Drosophila melanogaster: one gene and its partners. The protein of the gene in region 1 purifies or fractionates together with the protein of each later gene. This does not show direct contact. Each region holds a gene or a part of one and is shown on either strand. Other genes may lie near its edges.

What was found. The genes of interacting proteins can lie anywhere in the genome.
Region 2: the proteins of ph-p (region 1) and barr purify together in Drosophila melanogaster (affinity purification with western blotting, with the first as the bait; one study listed by BioGRID). This does not show direct contact.
Region 3: the proteins of ph-p (region 1) and Pc purify together in Drosophila melanogaster (affinity purification with western blotting; 18 studies listed by BioGRID, with this or other methods). This does not show direct contact.

Annotation. Positions count from the first base shown.
Region 1 is NC_004354.4:2,130,749-2,138,187, reverse strand, and holds the start of ph-p (polyhomeotic proximal), read left to right. Parts: upstream 1-1,565; 5' UTR 1,566-2,136; coding exon 2,137-2,171; intron 2,172-6,461; coding exon 6,462-7,439. UniProt on the Drosophila melanogaster protein: Polycomb group (PcG) protein. PcG proteins act by forming multiprotein complexes, which are required to maintain the transcriptionally repressive state of homeotic genes throughout development.
Region 2 is NT_033779.5:20,056,227-20,063,337, forward strand, and holds barr (barren), read right to left. Parts: upstream 5,145-7,111; 5' UTR 4,960-5,144; intron 4,791-4,959; 5' UTR 4,498-4,790; coding exon 4,186-4,497; intron 4,127-4,185; coding exon 2,576-4,126; intron 2,504-2,575; coding exon 2,159-2,503; 3' UTR 1,937-2,158; downstream 1-1,936. Other genes in the region: lok (loki), read left to right, coding at 5,651-5,837, 5,922-6,079, 6,319-6,427, 6,508-6,945.
Region 3 is NT_037436.4:21,312,988-21,319,668, reverse strand, and holds the start of Pc (polycomb), read left to right. Parts: upstream 1-1,648; 5' UTR 1,649-1,758; coding exon 1,759-1,872; intron 1,873-2,186; coding exon 2,187-3,245; 3' UTR 3,246-4,363; intron 4,364-6,681.

The sequences.
Region 1 (7,439 bases):
AAAAAGCTAATCGGAATGAAAACATTTGTGGGGCTCAGCGACGTTGTTGTTGGATGAGGTGGGAAGAGTAAGAAGAAGACCAACAAGAGCCCAAAGCAACGCACACATACTACAAATGGTGCATGCACACACGCACGGGCTGGCACAAAATGAAAAATGAAATGACAAAGACAGGCACAGTGGGTCATGAGTGGTGGATATTTGAAACATTAATAAACTTAAAACTTAATAAATCAACTCAATACGTATGTCTATTATATAATTCTATTTTACTAAACGTTTTCATTTTACTTATCGTAACATTGTTTATATGTATAAAAAGTTTGGAAAAATTGCTGTTCTAAAAAATTGACCCACTGTACTCTTGGTTCTCAAACTGCAACTGTAAAGCAATCCAATAATAATGGATCGCTTACCACTGTTCAATGGGGTGGAGAGAATAAGATTTCGCTCTGCCTCTGCGCATACGCTATCCTCCCCTTCTCAACCGACACACCCGTGTGTTACTGACAAGCACAACTAATAATAAGGTAAAGCCGATCCGACCCGATCTGATGTGAAAAAGAAGGAATGAGAAAGGAGGTAGAGGTAGGAAGGTAGTCGTAGTGGTGGTGGTTGTGATGGCACGAAAAAAGAAGATGAAGTATAGCAACAATCGTTGTCGAGTCGGGCCGGGCGGTAGACATTCGAGTGTACACACATAAAACTGGCTTCGCGCGTATTTATGTATGTACATACCCGGTACCCACAAAGTAAAAGGGTATACTGGGCACTTGGTTTTAACTGGAATTTGTGTTAGTAGTCAGCACCAATAACTTACAAATAAATATTTAAGAAGGGTTTTCATTTTAAGGATACGACTGAAGTTAGCGAGGAATGGTATATGAAAAAGGGGTATTTGAAAGTCGAGTCACCAGACCATGTTATGTTTTCAGCAACGGAAGGGGGCTTTCAGTCGGGGTGGTTGAGCACGCATACACATGCCCGCCAGCTGTAGTCTTCCTGTTTTTTTTACTCGTTTTGGTTTTGCTTTGTCAAACGAACTGCTGCCGTTTCATTCCAACCCCAAGCGAACGCACGGCATCCCTCTCGCACGCGCTAACTGGCCAGGGCCACTCCTAGTGGCGTCGCACTCGCACCCGTGCATTTCGGTATAGAGAAAAGTTATTAGTCGCAACGGCATCTGAGAAGAGAGAAGCGGATCCAGCTGCACACCAACACACACACATATTCAGCGCACATGCGCTCATTTTGTTTCCGATCCGAACGAAAAGTAGAGTTGTCGCTGTGGCGCGCGGTTCAGTTTGAAACTTAACTTGGCGGTGTACGGTTCTTGCGCTCTGCTCTCTCTGCGTTCGTGTTGGTGTGGTGTCGTATGTGTCGCATACCGCATCGCATGTGTATTGAACGAAGAAAAAACCCGCCGACGCGACATACTCACTGGATACCCTGCAAATTTGTTAAATTTTTTTCAAAAAGAGCTAACGGTGCTGTTGATTAGCTAGTGCAGATGTGCAGACATAAAAAGTGATGCCGCGCCACAGTGGAGCCCCTAGCTGGCGAATCGTCGCTGGCGACGTAGGCAGTGCAGTTAAAACAAGTACTTAGTGCTGTGACTGTGGCTTAATTTTATGTAAGATCGCGTGCACAGGTGCTTAGTCGTTACACTGAGAAAAAGAAAAGTGCCTGCAGCCAGCGGGGAGAAGTTGAAGTGGAGTGACTGTGAGTGGAGGTTGTACTAATTACTACTGCCCGTGCACGAAACACTCATTTACACGCAAGCACACACACACACACACACACACACGAGACACTGGGACTTTTGTCGGATTTTCGTATTCGTTTTGTGTACTTTTGTTGTCTTGCGTTCCACGTTACATACATATGTATATGTTTGGTGTTGCCTGTTGTATGTTTATATTTATTGCCTTCACACATGTGCGTGTTTGTTAATGTACAATATAATACGGCAAATAGCAAAAAGAGAAGAAACTGAGGACTAAAAAGAAAGCGCCATGCCGACTATAACAAAAACAACCACGAGTGTCTCCGCCGCCGCCGAAAACAAAAACAAAACGCCTAAGCCGACGCATGCATACCTATAATTTATTATAAATATTGTTTTTATTTTGAATAATGGATCGTCGTGCATTGAAGTTTATGCAAAAAAGGTATTTTTTGTTTAGTTTGGTTTTATTTTTATCACTGCTTTTGTACTGCCTGCACTTGTGCTTTTTGTTTACAATTTTTGGTTTAATCTGCTCTTGAGCATTGGATATTGATTCTATATCGTATTCGGATAATAATGACACGTTAATCATAATGCTCGTAAAAATGCAGCGAGTGGATATTCTGTGCTCTCTGTCATCATAAAATGCGCTCGACTGGCGGGCCAAGAAAAGAAAATAAATTCATGAAACCCAAAACGAGTTTCCCCTCCGTCGCCCTCTCCGCCATTCATCATCCAACCGACACACGCCCCCCGCTGTGCGGTGTTGTTGCATTTTTAACAACGAATTTCGCAATGCATGCCCGTGTCTGCATTTGTGTGTGTGCGTCGGCTGGTGGTGGTTGATTTCTCCGTCTCTCCGTGCAACCCTCTCTCACTCGCGCAACAAAGCAACATAAAGAAAACAAAAGTTCTATATCGAAAGGTATCAGTTTTTGTTGTTGCTGCGGCAACCCTGCTTACATTTTGCTTTACTCTGCCGAAATAAACAGTCTAGGGTTGTCAGCTGTAACGAATCTGAGAAATCTGTGTTCCGGTTTAACGAAGATTCAATTTTATTGAATACTTTTATATTTCTTACAGTCCGTTATCACTGAATGCTAATTTTTACCTACAAACTTAAATTGTTCGTGGCAAGAAAATAAACCAGAATGATTAAATTATTTTAGACTCGTTTAAAGCACAACAGTTTTTGTAAATAAATAGTTGACAACTCTGTTTACACCTACGCTACACCGCACTCGCTCTGAGTTTATGTGACTGTGTGTACGGCCTGGCCATAGCCTCATCTCGTTCACTCACATTTGTTTCATCTTCTTCGATTGCAGAACTCGTTTGTGTATCAATCAATAGGCTGTCAAGGCCCCCCCCCTCCTCGCTCGCTCCCGCGCATTTTGCACGCCCGAATCCACTGGAGGTGATGTTTGATTTGAGCGCGACCTTTCCCCCGCACCCCTATCGGCGTGTCTGTGTGTGTGTGTGCTGCCCCGCATTTTGATCATTCCTTTCCCACCGCTACTGCTTTCCCCCCGATTGCAAGCAGGCTGTTTTACGGGGGTTCTCACACACTCGAGCTCGAATGTATGTACCCTACTCCATGGCGACATGGAAACCAGTCTTTTTTTTTCTCTCAAGAGGTTTTTCGCAGCGTGCGGCCGTGAGCTTAACTTACACACACTTGCACACGCGCACCCACCACCCTGTGGCGAGTATTCCACCCCTCTGGACCACCCACCCCATATTCCCTTTCTTTTACGGGGTAGCAGCGACATGAGGGTTGCCAAAATGCTTTTACCGGCTTTTATAACCCATTTCGCTCCTTTTTCTGTCTTTTTTGCACTCATGCTTTTTATGCTCTTGCTGTTTATGGGCCTTGCGGGCTTTTTGGGCGATGGAAAGGGGTGGGGATCAGGCTCTCTGGACTGCCGGGCATCACAGTCGCGGTCAATGCAATAGGACCTTGAAACCACGCTTCTCCAGTTAGATCATTCATAGTTGAACTATATCAGGGAACTGATTCAGGAAGTAATATTAGTTAATTATTTCTAGAAAAACATCCTTACCATGTGGAGTACTCAGCCATTTACGTTTGTCCACTAATCCTATTAGCTTGAGCACTACTGTATAAAACACTAACCATCTCGTGTTGCTCCCAACTGTCAGCATTTTTAGCATTTCGATGGAAAGGTCCTTGAACTTCGCCTGCAATTCGCATCGGCTTTATTGCCCTTTTACAATAATATCGAACGGTGCCAGCTGCGTGGCTAAATTAGTTTTCCGGGCTGTTGTTGTCGAACGTTGAACGTGGAAAACGAGTGCGACTACCATGCTGCTCATGGAAATTCGAAAACCCATAGATAAAGATCGATGTGAAATGCGAAGGCTGTCAGGCAGCTCCTTTCTCTTCATTCGTTGAATGCGAAAGTCCGTTAAGTAGTTGGCCAAATGTTCATTGTCGCTGAAAAAGGGCGGGTTCGGAAAAAGGTCCACAAAAAGAACGAATATTTTCGGGATAGGGATTGGGATCGGGATCGGGCTCGGGATCTCTACCTAAAAGTTAACCAGGGTACACAATTCTTAATTAGAAATTGAAATGACATGGTACATATCTTCAGGCTTGACCTTGTGATTAAGTCGGAACTATAGTTTTGATATTATCCCGAGTTAAAGGTGATCGTTACCTCAGAGTCATATTTACTTTTCCCGCGTTTGTTTCTGCCACTCTCGAAAGTCATCTTTTATGTTTACATTGTAAATATGATTATTTAATAAGAGCGTTTTTGTTTGCTAGTTCCCGCATTTGTCTCACACTTTTTTGAATGACTAAAACCAGATTTTTGTATTTACCAAGTAGCCATATTTGCTTAAACAAAAAAAAAAAAAAAAAAAACGGATATCACTTTGTTATAGCTCAAAGAAGCTGGGGTCGGAAAAATCGAATTTTTGAAATTTGAAAGCTGGAATCGTTTGCCCATTTTTTGCCCATGTTTGCCCACCAATTAGTTTTTTTTGCCCACGTCCAGTTTTTGAGATATGAATTTTCGAAAAAGTTCGAAAATTTTCGAAAATCAAAAATTTCGCTTTTTTCAAAATTTTTTTTTTTAAATCGCAATAACATCGTTTGCCCACGTTTGCCCACCCTTTAGAATTTTGAAAAAATTTATACTTTAGAAAATATAAGGCTTTTAAGTTTACCTCGGTCTAATCAGAGAGTAAATCGTTTGCCCATCTCTTAAAACCAAATATTATCAACAAAAAAGGTTTGCCCAACCATTATTATTAGTTTTTATCGTTTGCCCACCCTTTAAAAAACCTTTAACAAAAATTTTTTTTCGATTGCCCACATTTAAAATACACCCAATTTCGTTAGCCCACCTCTTTAAAATAAAAATTTCCAAAAAAAACGTTTGCCCACCATTTAAAACTAAATAATTTCGTTTGCCCATCCTTCAAAATTCATTTTTAACGTTTGCCCACCCTTTAAAAATAAATTATTTCGTTTGCCCACCCTTTAAAATTTGTTTTTTTCGTTTGCCCACTCTTAAAACTAAATAATTTCGATTGCCCACCTTTTAAAAGTAAATAATTTCGTTTGCCCATCCTTTAAAATTCATTTTTAACGTTTGCCCACCCTTTAAAAATAAATTATTTCGTTTGCCCACCCTTTAAAATTTGTTTTTTTCGTTTGCCCACTCTTAAAACTAAATAATTTCGATTGCCCACCTTTTAAAACTAAATAATTTCGTTTGCCCATCCTTTAAAAATAAATAATTTATTTTTAAAGGGTGGGCAAACGTTAAAAATGAATTTTGAAGGATGGGCAAACGAAATTATTTAGTTTTAAATGGTGGGCAAACGTTTTTTTTGGAAATTTTTATTTTAAAGAGGTGGGCTAACGAAATTGGGTGTATTTTAAATGTGGGCAATCGAAAAAAAATTTTTGTTAAAGGTTTTTTAAAGGGTGGGCAAACGATAAAAACTAATAATAATGGTTGGGCAAACCTTTTTTGTTGATAATATTTGGTTTTAAGAGATGGGCAAACGATTTACTCTCTGATTAGACCGAGGTAAACTTAAAAGCCTTATATTTTCTAAAGTATAAATTTTTTCAAAATTCTAAAGGGTGGGCAAACGTGGGCAAACGATGTTATTGCGATTTAAAAAAAAAAATTTTGAAAAAAGCGAAATTTTTGATTTTCGAAAATTTTCGAACTTTTTCGAAAATTCATATCTCAAAAACTGGACGTGGGCAAAAAAAACTAATTGGTGGGCAAACATGGGCAAAAAATGGGCAAACGATTCCAGCTTTCAAATTTCAAAAATTCGATTTTTCCGACCCCAGCTTCTTTGAGCTCTTTGTTATGTTAGTTTTCCATGATCATTAAATTTAATTTTTTAATGTTTAATTTAAGGGCCGTTTTCAAAACATCACGGCCAGTATAAATAATAATAACAAATAATGATGAGAAAGCTGACCTTATTTTTGGGTCAAGTCCGATTCTCAGCTGGGAGAGCTTGTTTTGCATGAGCGGGGAGGGGAGCAGGGGGCAGAACGGGGATGCTGACAACGTGTTTGCATTGCCTTCCTATTGTTTGTCGCTAGGACAAGAGAAGGCCATTAGGAACACTGTTTTTCCAGTTTGTTTGCGTGTGGTGTGGTCCGAAATGACATTGCTCTTTTTTGCTGAGCAAATGTTTACTGATCGCCAAACTTCTCTTTTTCAATCCTCAGAGCGGACACAGAAAGCGATACGACCACACCCGTGAGCACCACAGCATCCCAGGGGATTTCAGCATCAGCGATTCTAGCAGGAGGCACTCTTCCCTTGAAGGACAACTCGAACATCCGCGAGAAGCCCCTCCACCATAACTACAACCACAATAACAACAACAGCTCCCAGCACTCACACTCGCACCAGCAGCAGCAACAACAGCAGGTGGGTGGCAAGCAGCTCGAGCGGCCACTAAAGTGCCTGGAAACGCTCGCCCAGAAGGCGGGAATCACCTTCGACGAGAAATACGATGTGGCCAGCCCCCCGCATCCCGGCATTGCCCAGCAGCAGGCGACTTCAGGAACAGGCCCAGCAACGGGATCAGGCTCAGTCACCCCCACAAGCCATCGGCACGGAACTCCGCCCACGGGCCGCAGGCAAACCCACACCCCAAGCACTCCGAACAGGCCCAGTGCTCCCAGCACACCCAACACTAACTGCAACTCAATTGCCCGCCACACCAGCCTCACGCTGGAGAAGGCGCAGAATCCCGGCCAGCAGGTGGCCGCCACCACCACGGTGCCACTGCAGATATCCCCTGAGCAGCTGCAGCAGTTCTATGCGAGCAATCCCTACGCCATTCAGGTGAAGCAAGAGTTTCCCACGCACACGACCAGTGGCAGTGGAACTGAACTAAAGCATGCAACCAACATTATGGAAGTTCAGCAGCAGTTGCAGCTGCAGCAGCAGCTGTCGGAAGCCAACGGTGGAGGAGCAGCCTCGGCCGGAGCCGGAGGAGCAGCTAGTCCGGCCAACTCGCAGCAAAGCCAGCAACAGCAGCACTCCACAGCCATCAGCACCATGTCGCCGATGCAATTGGCAGCGGCCACTGGAGGAGTTGGCGGGGATTGGACACAGGGAAGGACGGTGCAGCTAATGCAACCCTCCACCAGTTTCCTGTATCCCCAAATGATTGTGTCGGGAAATCTGTTGCATCC
Region 2 (7,111 bases), on another chromosome or scaffold:
ATATATATCAGTATATGCGCATATATACCTTTAACTGAGTGTAATATCATGAATGTAAATAAAAGAGCAGGAATAATTAAAAGCAACCATATTTTACTCGATCTATGCAACAAATAAATAACTCAGATGGAGTAAAAAACTTAAAACAACTTGCTCTTCTCACTACTTTTTAGGAGGGTTGATTGATTGATTGACTGAAGCTATTAGTTTTTTTCGATATACCTCTTCATTCTATATCAGGATCAAACTTTTTAAAATTGTCGGTCATAACTATTTCGTGTATCAACTAAAACTGCCGGCAATTATCAACTTGGGAATTAAGCAACAAATTCAAGAAAATTAAACCAAACCGAAAGCCAAACAAGAAACAAAAACTCTGATGGCAATGACAATGGCAGCTGGGAAATGGGAAATGGTGGGCGGGGGAATAATCAAGCCAAGGACATTTGGCCTCCCACCTGTTGTGTGATTACAGTCATCGCCATTAACTCGGTTGCCACATCCTCCAGAGCACCCATTTCCACCAGGTGAAACTCTTTGTTGATGTTTGTTCTGATAATTAACTTTTCAACTCTAATGTGCCGGAATGTGGGTTGCCTAAAATGGTTATAAATCCGCACATGAAACATTATTTCGGTTAATTTCATGCAGGCATTGAAAATTTAACACGAAATTGCACTTTACGGGGATAAAATTTTGGTGGGCGGCTAACGGGTTAGCATAATACGTTTAATTTTCACTGTGCAAAAGTCATTATATTCAAAATGCATGCTCTCGAATTATTCAACAACAGTGTCTGCTACTGAAATGGAATTTGAAATGTTTGGATTTCCCTTGAAAACTGAAAAACATATGAGCAGGGGAAACTTTTTCACGGAACCTGGTTACAACGATAAGAACATACATAACAAGCGCAAAACCCACTACATTTTCCAGAAATTTCACAGATTTTTTGTTTAGTTTTATTACTTTCAGCCAAAAACTTAAAAATAGTTTAAGTTTAAGGCAAACATGGAAATCTCATCGAAATTATCCTTTTGTAACCGTCAATTTGAACATATGCAGATTAGAATCAACTTTTAAGTTGACAACTTTGTTCAGTGTCATTCGCTAATGTCAAAAGTTTTGCGAAACGTTTTCGAATGATCTGGTTGTTGATGTTTTCGTTTTTGTTTTTTTCTCGCATATGTACAGAGTGTAATCGGTAGACGCCAACGTTAACGTTACTTAGTATACTTCGCAAATATTTATGCAAATAATATGCAATTACACACACACGCAAACGGCGCCTAAAAGCGCTCTGTAAACACCGAAGTTTTCCAACAAACACAAACACACCAGCAGCCAACACACACACACACACACACACACACATGTGTGCCCCACAAACACAGATGCAGAAGGAAAATCCTCTTCAGGAGGCGACAAAAACCACTTGCAACTAAAAACGCCTTAGGATTTCCATTCCTTTTTTCTCCATTCTACACTGTAAACAGTTATATCCGCCGGAAAAGCTTCAAATCGCGAATTCTTCAGTGGTAAACAAGCAACATTTTACCATATAAATTAAACAATTTTTTACCCATTTTTTTATTTATTTTTTGGTTTTAAAATACCTGTTACTCGGCAGATGTTAAAAATATTAAAATAATCGAGGTTTCTTATTAAAATTGTTCTCGAAATCATTTCTGTCAGTGTGCACCAACACAAGTATGCAAATGAAAGAGCAACAGAAACGAAAAACAATGTTAACTACTTTCCCTTCTGTCTGAGCCGCCAGCAGAATATAAACAGCCAAAACTAATGCGAAAGTTTTAATTCTTTTCTGCGGCGTTTAAATTACAGATTTTTTTGATGCCGTTTTGCCATAAATACGTGTTTACCAATTGAGAAAATTTCACCAGTTTATTATACCCCATTAAAACAGCGAAATTTTCTTAGATATTTCCTAATTTATTGTTTACTAACTAGTGTTTAAATCAGAACAATGCTTCGTTTGTGTATAAAATTCGACTGGGGTGAGGATATCTGTTTCAGAATACTGATACGAATTGGGAGTTAAAAATAGAGGTAAGAGATTAAGGAGTAGCCGTGAAAATAAATTGTAACAGCATTTAAGGGCAACTAGAACTATGAATTGAAAAATAATTAAAGAAATTCAATCCAACACCTGGCGAATTTGAAAGTCCTCCAAGTCCTCCTGCGGAATTAGCCGCAGTTTCAAATCGTTGGCCAAATGCAGAACCGCATAGAATGCCACCGACGGGGACAGCGAGTCTGACATTTTGGTGGTCAAAAGGTCGGGCAGCTTCTGATACACCTGCTGAAAACTCGCGAAACCCTTTGAATAGTGTTCGCCCTTTTTCTTGGGATGCGAGGGTATCGTCTCCTCCGGCACAGCGTTTAGCAATTGTTTCTGTATTAGAGAGTTGCAGGACTTTTTCAGATTCTTCATGTCTATAACCTTGGCTCTCTTCGCGAATGGAACAATCACTTTGGCAACCTGCAAGTAAATTATTTTATATGGTTTTTAGAATACCAGGTATGTATATATGATTTTATAGTGAAGACTCACCTGCGACGGCGCACCCTCGAACTCGGTGCCGATCTCGAAGACTGTGTTGTTGCAAGTGGCGTTCATCTGGGTGAGGCCAATCTCACCCGCGGACACGTTCATCATGCTTGCCTCGGCCGCTTGCTCCGCAGCAATCGCGGCAATAACGCTCACGTTGGCGGGAACGGCGTCGGTAAAATGCTCGTTGTTGAATAGCTCCTGGTCATTGTCATCATCGTGGTGCATATCCGCATCCATATCGATGCCAAGATCTCCACCCTCATCCGAATCAGGTTCACCTGCGCGTTTCGACAACTTTATGCTGGGAGCGGATTCGTACTTGAAGAAAAGATCCGGGTCCAATTCGAACTTGGTGGGCAATATCAGCTTTCGGGGATCCCACTTCTTTTGGAAATTCGCCTTGCGCTGCCTTATGGTGGTGTCCAGCTGTTGGAAGAAGTTTTCCGTCACATTGCCATAGTCCAAAGCCTTGGCTCTTCGGTTGGCATTCAGATGCGCTGACTTCTTCGCTCGTTGAGTGCGAATAGGCTGAGTGTCCACCTGTCCATTGGTCTGCGAGAAAGTGCTGCGCGGGCGAGTCCGCTTAAACTTCCAATGCGAGGGGCCGGCCCAAAACTGGGAGATCTGGTCCATCGGCCTGTAGGAGTACTCTAGCTTGGAATTCCCGTCTACCGGTCGCAAATCCTCGATGAACTCTGTCTGCTTACGTAGCCGACGGCAATTATTGATCACCATTTGCTCCTCGGCAGTGAGCTCTTCCAGCTCATTGGAGTCCACCTCCAGCACCAGAGGCGGTGGTCCATCCAGGTCCGGCATGGGCTCACACTCGGCATTGATGTCAAAGGCCATGGAAATCTCATTTACACACATATCGTCGGCATTATCCAGACCCTCGTCATGATCTTCATCCTGCACTACCTCGGCGGCCTTTTCATTTGCCGACTTGGGATTGGGAGCACTTGTGATGATGTAGCCCGTATGCAGCGGTCGCAGATTTGACCTTTCAGCATGTGGCAGCAGTTTGCGCATAAGATTGGTGCTCATAAGTGATGTGGCTGGCCATTGTTCCATTTCTGCATTGAGTGTAGTGTGGTCCTGGACCTCCTCGGTGGACTCTTCGCTGTTCCAAAAATTGTAGGTGGTACGCAAGCGCAATTCAGAGTCGAAACTAGGAAGAATGTTGTGCATCAGACGATTGGAAGCATTTATAGAGCCCACAGTGGAGTTCAGCTTGCCAAACACAGGATCCTGCAAGGGAGCCGTATCCAGCCGGCTGTTCAGCGTTTCTCTGTTTTTGGTCACGGTGGATATGGGTTTCTTTTGCCGTTTGGGCTTCGGTGCTGCTTCTTTTGCTGCCTGTTGCGCTGAGTCCTGACCCTCGCCAGTAGCCTGTTCACCTTGGGGGCCATCATCATCCTCGGCAGCATTTATTTGCTTATCCGTAAGAGTTCGTGCACTCAAGCCAGCTGAAATGCGCATGGCGTCCAAGTAGATGGAGTCCACACGCAGGCCGTAAACCTTGGAAGAGGCTTCTAAAGAGGAACCAGCCATCTAGGGTATAACATCATGAAATTATTACATTTACATAAACTGAATGAGGCAAAACCCACCTTGAAGTTGCTCATGCGCTTGTGATGGTGATCCAGCAAATTGGCCAACGAATCGATGAGCATCAGGTTCCAGGCGTTGTCCTTGCTCACCTTGTTGCCATTGTAGAGCTCCAAGCAATTTTTGATGGTCTCATTGTCCTCGATGGACTCCAGAGTGCTCGACCGGTGATGCTGCTGAAGGAGCGTGCGACGTCGGGCTTCCCGCCTTTCCGCCTCGTCGTCGTTAAAGGGGGTTAGCATGCGGGACACCCCCTCCTGGTAACTGCCTACTGCGGACCGCCTGAGCGGAGTTTCTAAGCGGGGCAGAGTCATCCTTTCAAGGAAGTGGATAAATCAGAGATGAAGTCAGAGAACAGCACAAGGAATTTTGGTTGCCGTAGGCTGATGGTTTTGGAGAGTGTTAATAAGCACACTCACTTTTAATAATAGCTGTGATCCCAATTCGACAGTTTTGAATTTTTTGTTTTTTGATGATTTGTTGATTGTATTTTGTCTATTTCTGTTTTTGCGCTGGTATTGGTAATAGTTTACAGTTTCTTTCAAACGACGCCGCAATTTAGGGCTGCATTTCAGTGTTGGTTAAAACTAAAGGTGTGCCAAGCTAGCTAGATAATATGGACAGGAAAATCGCTAAAGAATTAGCTATAAAGTATTGCGGAATATAATTAACTAGTATAAACATGATACATAATTTTATCATATGAGAAAAATGAAATAAACAAACTTAATTTACACCTTAAAGCTTCGAAATCGAATAAAAACACGATAGCTTACAATGGAATTTCTTTAAGTTCAGGGCTGCACAGGTCCTGCCAGTGCTGAATGGATTTCAACAATGGATGGCCGTTAAATTTCAAATACATGTACCATATTAAAGAAACTACGATCTGTAAAGGAATTAATCTGTTTCAATACTTTTAGTTTTTTATATAATTTTCAGTCCGGTAGTTAATTAGTATTTTTTCTTTTGACAATAAAGTCTTAACCTAAGCAATATTTAATTTGTAAAAACCCTTAATTTTTCCTTGGGACTCTTGCCAACACTGGCGCTGATAATCACCCCATCCCTGGAAGGCGGCAACTTTTACACACACTGCCGCAGAAATTGTAGTCCCTCGCGCAGTTCACATCGAACCAATGTCGTGATTTTTGTTAGTTTTCGTTGTTTTCGTCTGATAAACTCTAAATAACTATCAGCCAGCGCTGTGCGAAAAGCTCGATGTAATCGAATTGGGCAGAAGAAACGCTCAGAGATTCAAACCCATAGCTTCTATAGATCTATAGCTTTTCCGAAGATCGGACTCCTCGTGTATGTGTGCATTTCTGCCTGTGGTAGTGCTGGAGTAACTGGACATTTCGAATTTACGCAGTTCCAGGCAAACCTAACGGGTTTTCCAGTTCGACTTGCGGAATAGCAGGAATACGAGATTACGGGGCTACGGAGTTTCGGAGTTTTGGAATCACTATGGCACGCGACACACAAGGAACGCAGGGAACCCAGAGTCAGGCCTCCAATATCTGGACGCAGGTGGAGAGCCAGCCGATGGAGAAGATAGTCTGGGGTCGATTGTACGGCAAGAACATTAAGATCAAATCGCTGGGTACGAGTTCAAAATACCGAATCATTTATACGCATTCGTCCTTTTCTGTTGGTAACCACATTTCCTCCTGTTTTGTGTCCCCATTGCGTGTGCTCCTCATGTATTAATGACGATCCCATGCTGAACTGTTTGCAGATCTCAACAACGACGAGTTCACCGCAGGACGAGGGGAGGCCAACGACTTGATCCTCACGCTCAACGATTTGCCCGAGAAAATCCTGACGCGCATTTCCAAAGTGCATTTTATCATAAAGCGGGCAAACTGCGAACTTACCAATCCAGTTTATATTCAGGTAGGTGGAAGTTCCAAACCCAAAAGCTCTGAAGGAAGCCTTGAAAAAAAAGATAGCAAATTCAGAACCCACAAGAGCAGAATTCAAATTAAGTTTTATTTATGTTTTGTTGAGATTATCAAAAAAGGTAACTTCAATATTGAATATTTCCCACAATTAATTTACAAAAAGAAGTTACTATTCCGTATAATTCCGTATATTATTAAAATGTAGTAACCTTGTTTCCGCCCATTTCGCAGGATCTCTCACGCAACGGGACGTTTGTGAATAACGAGAAAATTGGCACAAACAGGATGCGAATCCTAAAGAATGACGACGTAATTTCCCTGTCCCACCCAACGTACAAAGGTAAGCGATCGACAAGCAGGTATAGCTATCGACAAGGACTCGCAAGTAATTTGATGTTTTGCACCTGCCCTCCCTTGTAGCCTTTGTATTCAAGGATCTCAGCCCGAATGAGTCGATCGGGCTTCCCGAGGAGATTAACAAGACGTATTATGTAAATCGCAAGCTGGGATCTGGAGCGTACGGACTGGTGCGTTTGGTCTATGACACCCGCACCTGCCAGCAGTTTGCGATGAAAATCGTTAAGAAGAATATGCTCTCTGGGGCGCGACCCAGTACCAATTTCAGTGATCCCGACCGGGTGCTGAACGAAGCCAAGATTATGAAGAATCTTTCACATCCGTGCGTGGTTCGCATGCACGACATCGTGGACAAGCCGGATTCTGTGTATATGGTGCTGGAGTTTATGCGCGGCGGCGACCTGCTTAACCGGATCATCAGCAACAAACTACTTAGCGAGGACATCTCGAAGCTTTACTTTTACCAAATGTGCCATGCCGTCAAGTACCTACACGATCGGGGTAAAACAAATTAGTTTTATTTGGGTTCGAATGTGTTGCTGATTAAGCAAGCCGTTCATTTCTGTTATGCAAATAAGTAAGTCTTCGGAATGGTCATTGAAAACGCCCTTAATTGCAAATCATTCCTGCGCCTTTACGAATTTGCTAGTACGACTACTGCGAACAC
Region 3 (6,681 bases), on another chromosome or scaffold:
GATAAATACAAGCTATTCCATTGTCCTGTTTGCGTTAATATATGGCCGTAATGCTCAATCTACTGGTTAAAAAATAACCGGAAGTTTTCGTTAAGCTGTGTCTCTCTTTTGTTACTTTCTCTTTGCGATTTTGACACTTGGCATTGCTTCTCCCAATATAACTGTAACTGGCTAGCTTTTATCGCCTCTCATAGTTTTGACGTTTTCTCTGAGCTTTCTCTCATCGGCATTTCCGAGTTTTCTCTTTATGACTTTGACATTTACCGTTGTCCGTCGCTCCCGTCCGGTTGTGTGGCACGTTTTTCTGAATGAATCCGCTATTCGGGGCTTTCGCCTGGAGATGGGGTGGTTTGCCGTTGCTATTATTATTTCCTATATGCTATAAGCTTAATATTTTCGCCAGCCTTATCAGTTGGCCAGTTTTCCTAATCGCTATTCGTTAGTTTTTCGCTCCGTACAATTGAACTAGGTATTGGTTTTTCCCCTTTTTTGTTCGGTTGTTTGGTTGCTTGGTGTTTTGTTTGAAGCCACTAATTAAATATCATCTATGTAAATTGTAACTAGCTAAACATATTGACTAATATTTTATAGGTTATGCGCTAATTGGTGCTGTTTTCACTATGAATTAAACATTAATCTATTTATAGGGTTCGCAACAATTTGCTTGGTGTTTTTCTTTATGTTTTGGTTAAAGCTTTTGGTTAATTTCTCGTTTTCGTCGTTAAGTGTGAAGATTCTCCATGCGTTTCGCGTCCCTCGTCGAAAATATTGCGATTGATTTCAAGGGAATGGGTGTTATTTCAGTTGTTGGTCTTGGTGTTGTTGTTATTTCACTATCACAGCATAAATAAAATAATGTCATCGTCGTTGCCGCCCCCGCCACGCGAACCCTCGGCCAACATACAACTGGCATAAAATATCTGCAGTCGGCCACTTCCTTTCACATCCATCCTGAGCTTTCGGCGCTCTTGTGCTTTCTCACACTCTCTCCCGCACTTTCTCTCCCTCTTGAGGATGTGGCATTTGAAGAGTTCGAAGAGGGTAACTAGTTCAGTTGTAATCAAGTTAATTATCAAACTTAATTGAATAGGAATATGGGGCGAAGTATATGTGGCAATTTGTGATACAATAAGTGAAGCAGGACAAAGGAAAATCAAAACTCAATATGGGATGAAAGCAACACAACGATAAACGTTAACGAAAGTATAATATTTCGTTACCTGGAATTCAATTCAACATGCAGTTTAAAAAGAATACTGTACAAAGGATTCATTAAAAATGCGCTTATTAAAATTTGATTAAAAGCTATTTTATATTTAAGCTAATTGGTTTAACTTCTCGCCGGTTTAGTAATTTGTAGAAACGATAAAAGAAAATAGTGTATAAGGCAACAGCGCCAAAAAAATGTTTTCTAAAACATTTATATACCCCATTTATAAATAATAGAAAAATGTCAAGAAATTCTGAAAATATTTTAACAAAACATTTACATTTTAAAAACGCACAATTAGGTGTGTCTAGTCATCAAAGTTTTGAGTCTTTGCTAATTTTGCCAGGAAAGGGTGTGCGACACGGCTACTTGCTAAGATATGATCCCAGTTCTTTGTAGCACGGTAACTCTGCACCTCGCAGCACTATCGATTGTTTACATGAAAATAATCGAGTCGGACGACTATCGACGTACGCAGAATTGTAAACCAGAAGTTAATTGCAAATAAAACGAATAATAAAACGTTCCGAGAAGATTATTAATTAAAAATGACTGGTCGAGGCAAGGGGAGTAAGGGGAAGTTGGGGCGCGACAATGCGACCGACGATCCAGTCGATCTAGTGTACGCGGCTGAGAAAATCATCCAAAAGCGCGTTAAGAAGGTGAGATGAGCGTAAACAAATTCGAAAAAGGCGACCAAAACGGGATGCTCCGCTAAAAATGGCAAATGCAATATGCGCAGCACACGCAGGATATATGTATAGTCCACAAGGTCACATGTCCTTCGACATTTTTTGGCCAGAGGACATCTGCTGCTGCAACCACCATTTGCACGATGCATGTGTGTGTGCGTAGTGCGTTCGTATGTGTGTGTGTGTGTATGTGAGGCGTGTTTTTGTTTCGCTGAATGGAAAATCAATTAGTTGTCTAAGAAAATGCAATCCACCCCCACTCCTTCACTTACTCGATTTTCCAGGGCGTCGTGGAGTACCGTGTCAAGTGGAAGGGCTGGAACCAGCGCTACAACACCTGGGAACCGGAGGTAAACATCCTGGATCGCCGCCTCATCGACATCTACGAACAAACGAACAAATCCTCCGGAACTCCCTCCAAGCGAGGCATTAAGAAGAAGGAGAAAGAACCCGATCCGGAGCCGGAATCCGAGGAGGATGAGTACACCTTCACCGAAAACGATGTGGACACGCATCAAGCCACCACCTCATCGGCTACCCACGATAAGGAGTCGAAGAAGGAGAAGAAGCACCATCACCACCACCACCATCATCACCACATCAAGTCCGAACGCAACAGTGGACGGCGCTCGGAATCTCCGCTGACCCACCATCATCATCACCACCACCACGAGTCCAAGCGTCAGCGCATTGATCACAGCTCCTCCTCGAACAGCAGCTTCACGCACAACTCATTTGTCCCCGAGCCGGACAGCAACTCCTCCAGCTCCGAGGATCAGCCGCTGATCGGCACCAAACGCAAAGCCGAGGTGCTCAAGGAATCGGGCAAGATTGGAGTTACGATTAAGACCTCCCCAGATGGCCCCACTATTAAGCCTCAGCCGACCCAGCAGGTAACTCCCAGCCAGCAGCAGCCCTTCCAGGATCAGCAGCAAGCGGAAAAGATTGCCAGCGAGGCTGCAACGCAGCTGAAATCTGAGCAGCAGGCCACCCCACTGGCCACAGAAGCCATAAACACAACGCCCGCAGAGTCCGGAGCTGAGGAAGAAGAAGTAGCCAACGAGGAAGGCAACCAACAGGCGCCACAGGTTCCTTCCGAGAACAATAACATACCAAAACCGTGCAACAACCTGGCTATCAACCAGAAACAGCCGCTTACTCCTCTTTCGCCGCGTGCCCTTCCGCCGCGCTTCTGGCTGCCGGCCAAATGCAACATATCCAACCGGGTGGTGATCACAGACGTCACCGTAAACCTGGAGACCGTTACCATACGCGAGTGCAAGACGGAGCGCGGGTTTTTTCGTGAGCGCGACATGAAAGGCGATTCGTCGCCAGTAGCTTGAGCTTCGACCCAAACAAATGTCGGGAAAACAAACCGGAAAACTGATACAATTGTAAATAGACAAACCAAAATGCGAGAAAGTTGAGAGAAGAATTATGCAGAGAAATCCACACTAAATGTTGCTAAGCATTTTCTCTTTAGGACTTAACTAATTTATTGTATTTATTTTTAGCGTAGGTTTTAGTTTGTTGTTTTATTACAATGTTTAATGTGCAAGAGTAGTTTAAGCAAGCGCAAGTCGGGTATTTACTAAATGACTTTATATATACATAAATTTTCGCTCATTTTTTTTATCAGCATTGCAATGATTGAATATTTTCCTATTTAAATTAAAAATTTATTTTTCTGCAATATCACTTTTTAAGATTAATCTGGTTGTCATTTAGTGAATAGGCGAAATGCTGCGGCTGCTTAACTTGCCAATGCAATAGATTGTAAAACTTGCAGCGTAGATAAATATGTATGTACATGTTACATATATTTACCACATATTGTATATTTTTTATAACACTTTGAATCTGATTGAAAACAACACAAGACACTCAAATGCTAAGAAAACTCCATGCGAAACCGAAGCAATTGTTGATTACGCTTACAAATATATACAATAGAAGATGCATATATTCGAGTAGTCACCACCACGTTTGCCGAGTTGGCTATCCCAATGTTGTAATTGTTTAATATTATATTTCCTCGCGCCGACTGATTTTACAAAAGAAAACCCCAAAAACATATATACAATTGTAGATTTACAAATATTTTTAGACTTTAGCTAACCAAAATCTCTACGTAATATTTATTTTAACATGTTCTCTTAGCAGTCATTCAAGACTCAAGTGCTGCCTTTATGGGTTCAGAGCGGTGCAGTGCACAGATAATTCCAAATCGAGCCCATAGACTCATTACTTAAATCCTATGTCTATTTCACAATTTTTTTTCACGCTATGAAACAGAAAACTACGTGGGAGCTGCGGGGAATTTACAAACTCCTGCTTATTTCCCATGGGTCCTGTGCGTATGTTTCTATTTGTCTTAGCTCTTTATTGGCTAGTTTTAGTTACGGCGTAAATTCCACACAAAACAGCAATTCAAAGCGTATATTTTAAGCTTTTTAATATAGTTGTAAAGTCCCAAATGAGAAGACTTTACTCGTTGAGTTTTTGTAAGAAACTGATTTTATTTGGAATTATCTTCGGTTTAAATAGGTGACATGAGAATCGCATCTTAAAGTAAATGGCCTACGCAGAGGCCTAAGTAAATAGTCCCCGCCTTATCGAGGTCCCACGCTCGGGCACATCTGCCTATCTTGAGCGGCGAGGACCTTATCTGTGGTCTCCCACTAAGGGACTATTTTAGGAGGCGGGGAACGATCTCAAGTGACTGACTCATGTAGTGTGCACTTAAATTACATGTTTTTGAGCAATGCACCCATGTCGCCTTAGATAACAAAATCCTAAATATAATTTATCGCTCTCGATTCATTTACATAAGATATGAACGGAGCCCAAAATTGTAAGTCTTTAAATATATTCGTGTTCATGTGTGAACATTCTGCCAAAGGGCCAGCAAGCTGAGATGTACATTAGTATATTAGTTGCATTTATAACAGTAGTGGACTGTATTTATTTGATATATGTTCATTTATTTTGCAACTAAGATTTCAATGGGCCTAGTTTTTCTGGCTTTTAATTTTATTGGATTACAATTATGGTTTATATTATTTTTAATTCAACAATTTGTACTCAATTAACTTATTTTAAACATTTTGCTTTTTCTATGTAGAAGTACATTTTCTATTAGTGGACTGTATATTTTTATTTGTTATATTATTTTATTGTTTATTTACTATTGATATTTATAGTACTGGCAACGGACCTGCAAAGGTTATTGCTTGCATTCTTTGTTGCACAGCACATTTCCGTATGAAATATATTATTAATACTATCATTAGTATTAAAGCAATAATTAATCCAGCATGTCCGGAAATATGATGGAAATGTAAATCTTTCAATTTTTGATGGTTCTCTTTCATAAATTTAATTTCATTATTCAATCGTTCAAATTCCTCAGTATGATTTAATATTGATAGTTTCAGCGGATCCCAAATAATCTTCGGCACTCCACTAACTTCTCCTATATAAGGTGTTGATAATAATTCTTCACTTTCGGACTGAATGTTATGGTGGGCAACTAGAATTTTATCGTCGGTTCTTGCCGTACAATATGGCGCAATGCTTAAAACTCCTTGCTGAGGCAAATCAAACAATTCAATTTGAGAGCCAGTACATTGCAGACGGACTTTTGAATTCGCAGGAACCTTAAACAACCAACTACTTTTCTTTTCTAACTCTACCCAGTAACTTTTAGAGTCGACTACTGTTTTATAGATGCAGTTCGCCGCTTTATCTGGCTTTAGAGGCTGAATCTCACATGCATTATCATTCGCTGAATTCCAGGGCCAACTTCCTTTGCATATTCTCTTATTTAGTTGCCATTTCTGACATTGATTTAATGTGGCTTCCGTCATTATGTGATAGGAATCTATCTCAAAATTATAAATTAAATATTCGGACGTTGTATGCACCATTATTATCCGATCTTCATTTCGAATTGGCACCGGAATAAGCCTGAACAATTTGGATGGATGCTGCTAAACAGAGGCACTTTTGCACTAATGATCAATTTATCGTCGATGAATAAACCCCTGGCTGTTAACAGTGTATACACCTCCTTAAGTTCCGTACCTGACCGTTTTCCTGGAATTACTAGGTTCTCCGAAAGACTCTGCTGAATTTTGGCAATTTCTTTTTTAAGCTGATTTGGCCTGAGAATATTTGTATTTAGCCTACCGTGATTAATATCAATCAACAGGCTTATAATGCCTGCTTGAATTTTTTCGCCTTCTTCAATCAATGAGTGTAGCTGTTTCGTAATCATAAAGAATTTTATTGATTCCTTATAAACATAATAATTTTCTTTAAGAACTTCTGTCATGTTCTCAATTCTTATTTGCATACTTCTAAAATTGGAGTTAACATCTTCTGTTGTTCTCTTTAATAGATTAGAAGTTGAATCAACCACAGATGTTTGTTTTTGAATTAGTTTATCAAGGTTGTTCTGGTTATCTAACAAATTCTTCATATTTTCTTCTAATTGCTCTCTATCATCTTCATCCATTATACCAAATAAAATATGATACAAGGAACCCATAAATTCGAAAGGAGCACGCTTGCTTCTAGATCTAGACTGTATCATAAACAATTTATTGTTTTCTTCAAGTTCCGATAACTGACTTTGCATATTATCTAAAACTAGACTACATTGCTCTTCAAAGCTATGAAGTCTTTCGCAAACTTTCCTCATACTTTGTATAAGCGCATTACCCTTTGTTAACATTTTAAAATATGGATCCATTTTATAATAGATAACCAAATTCC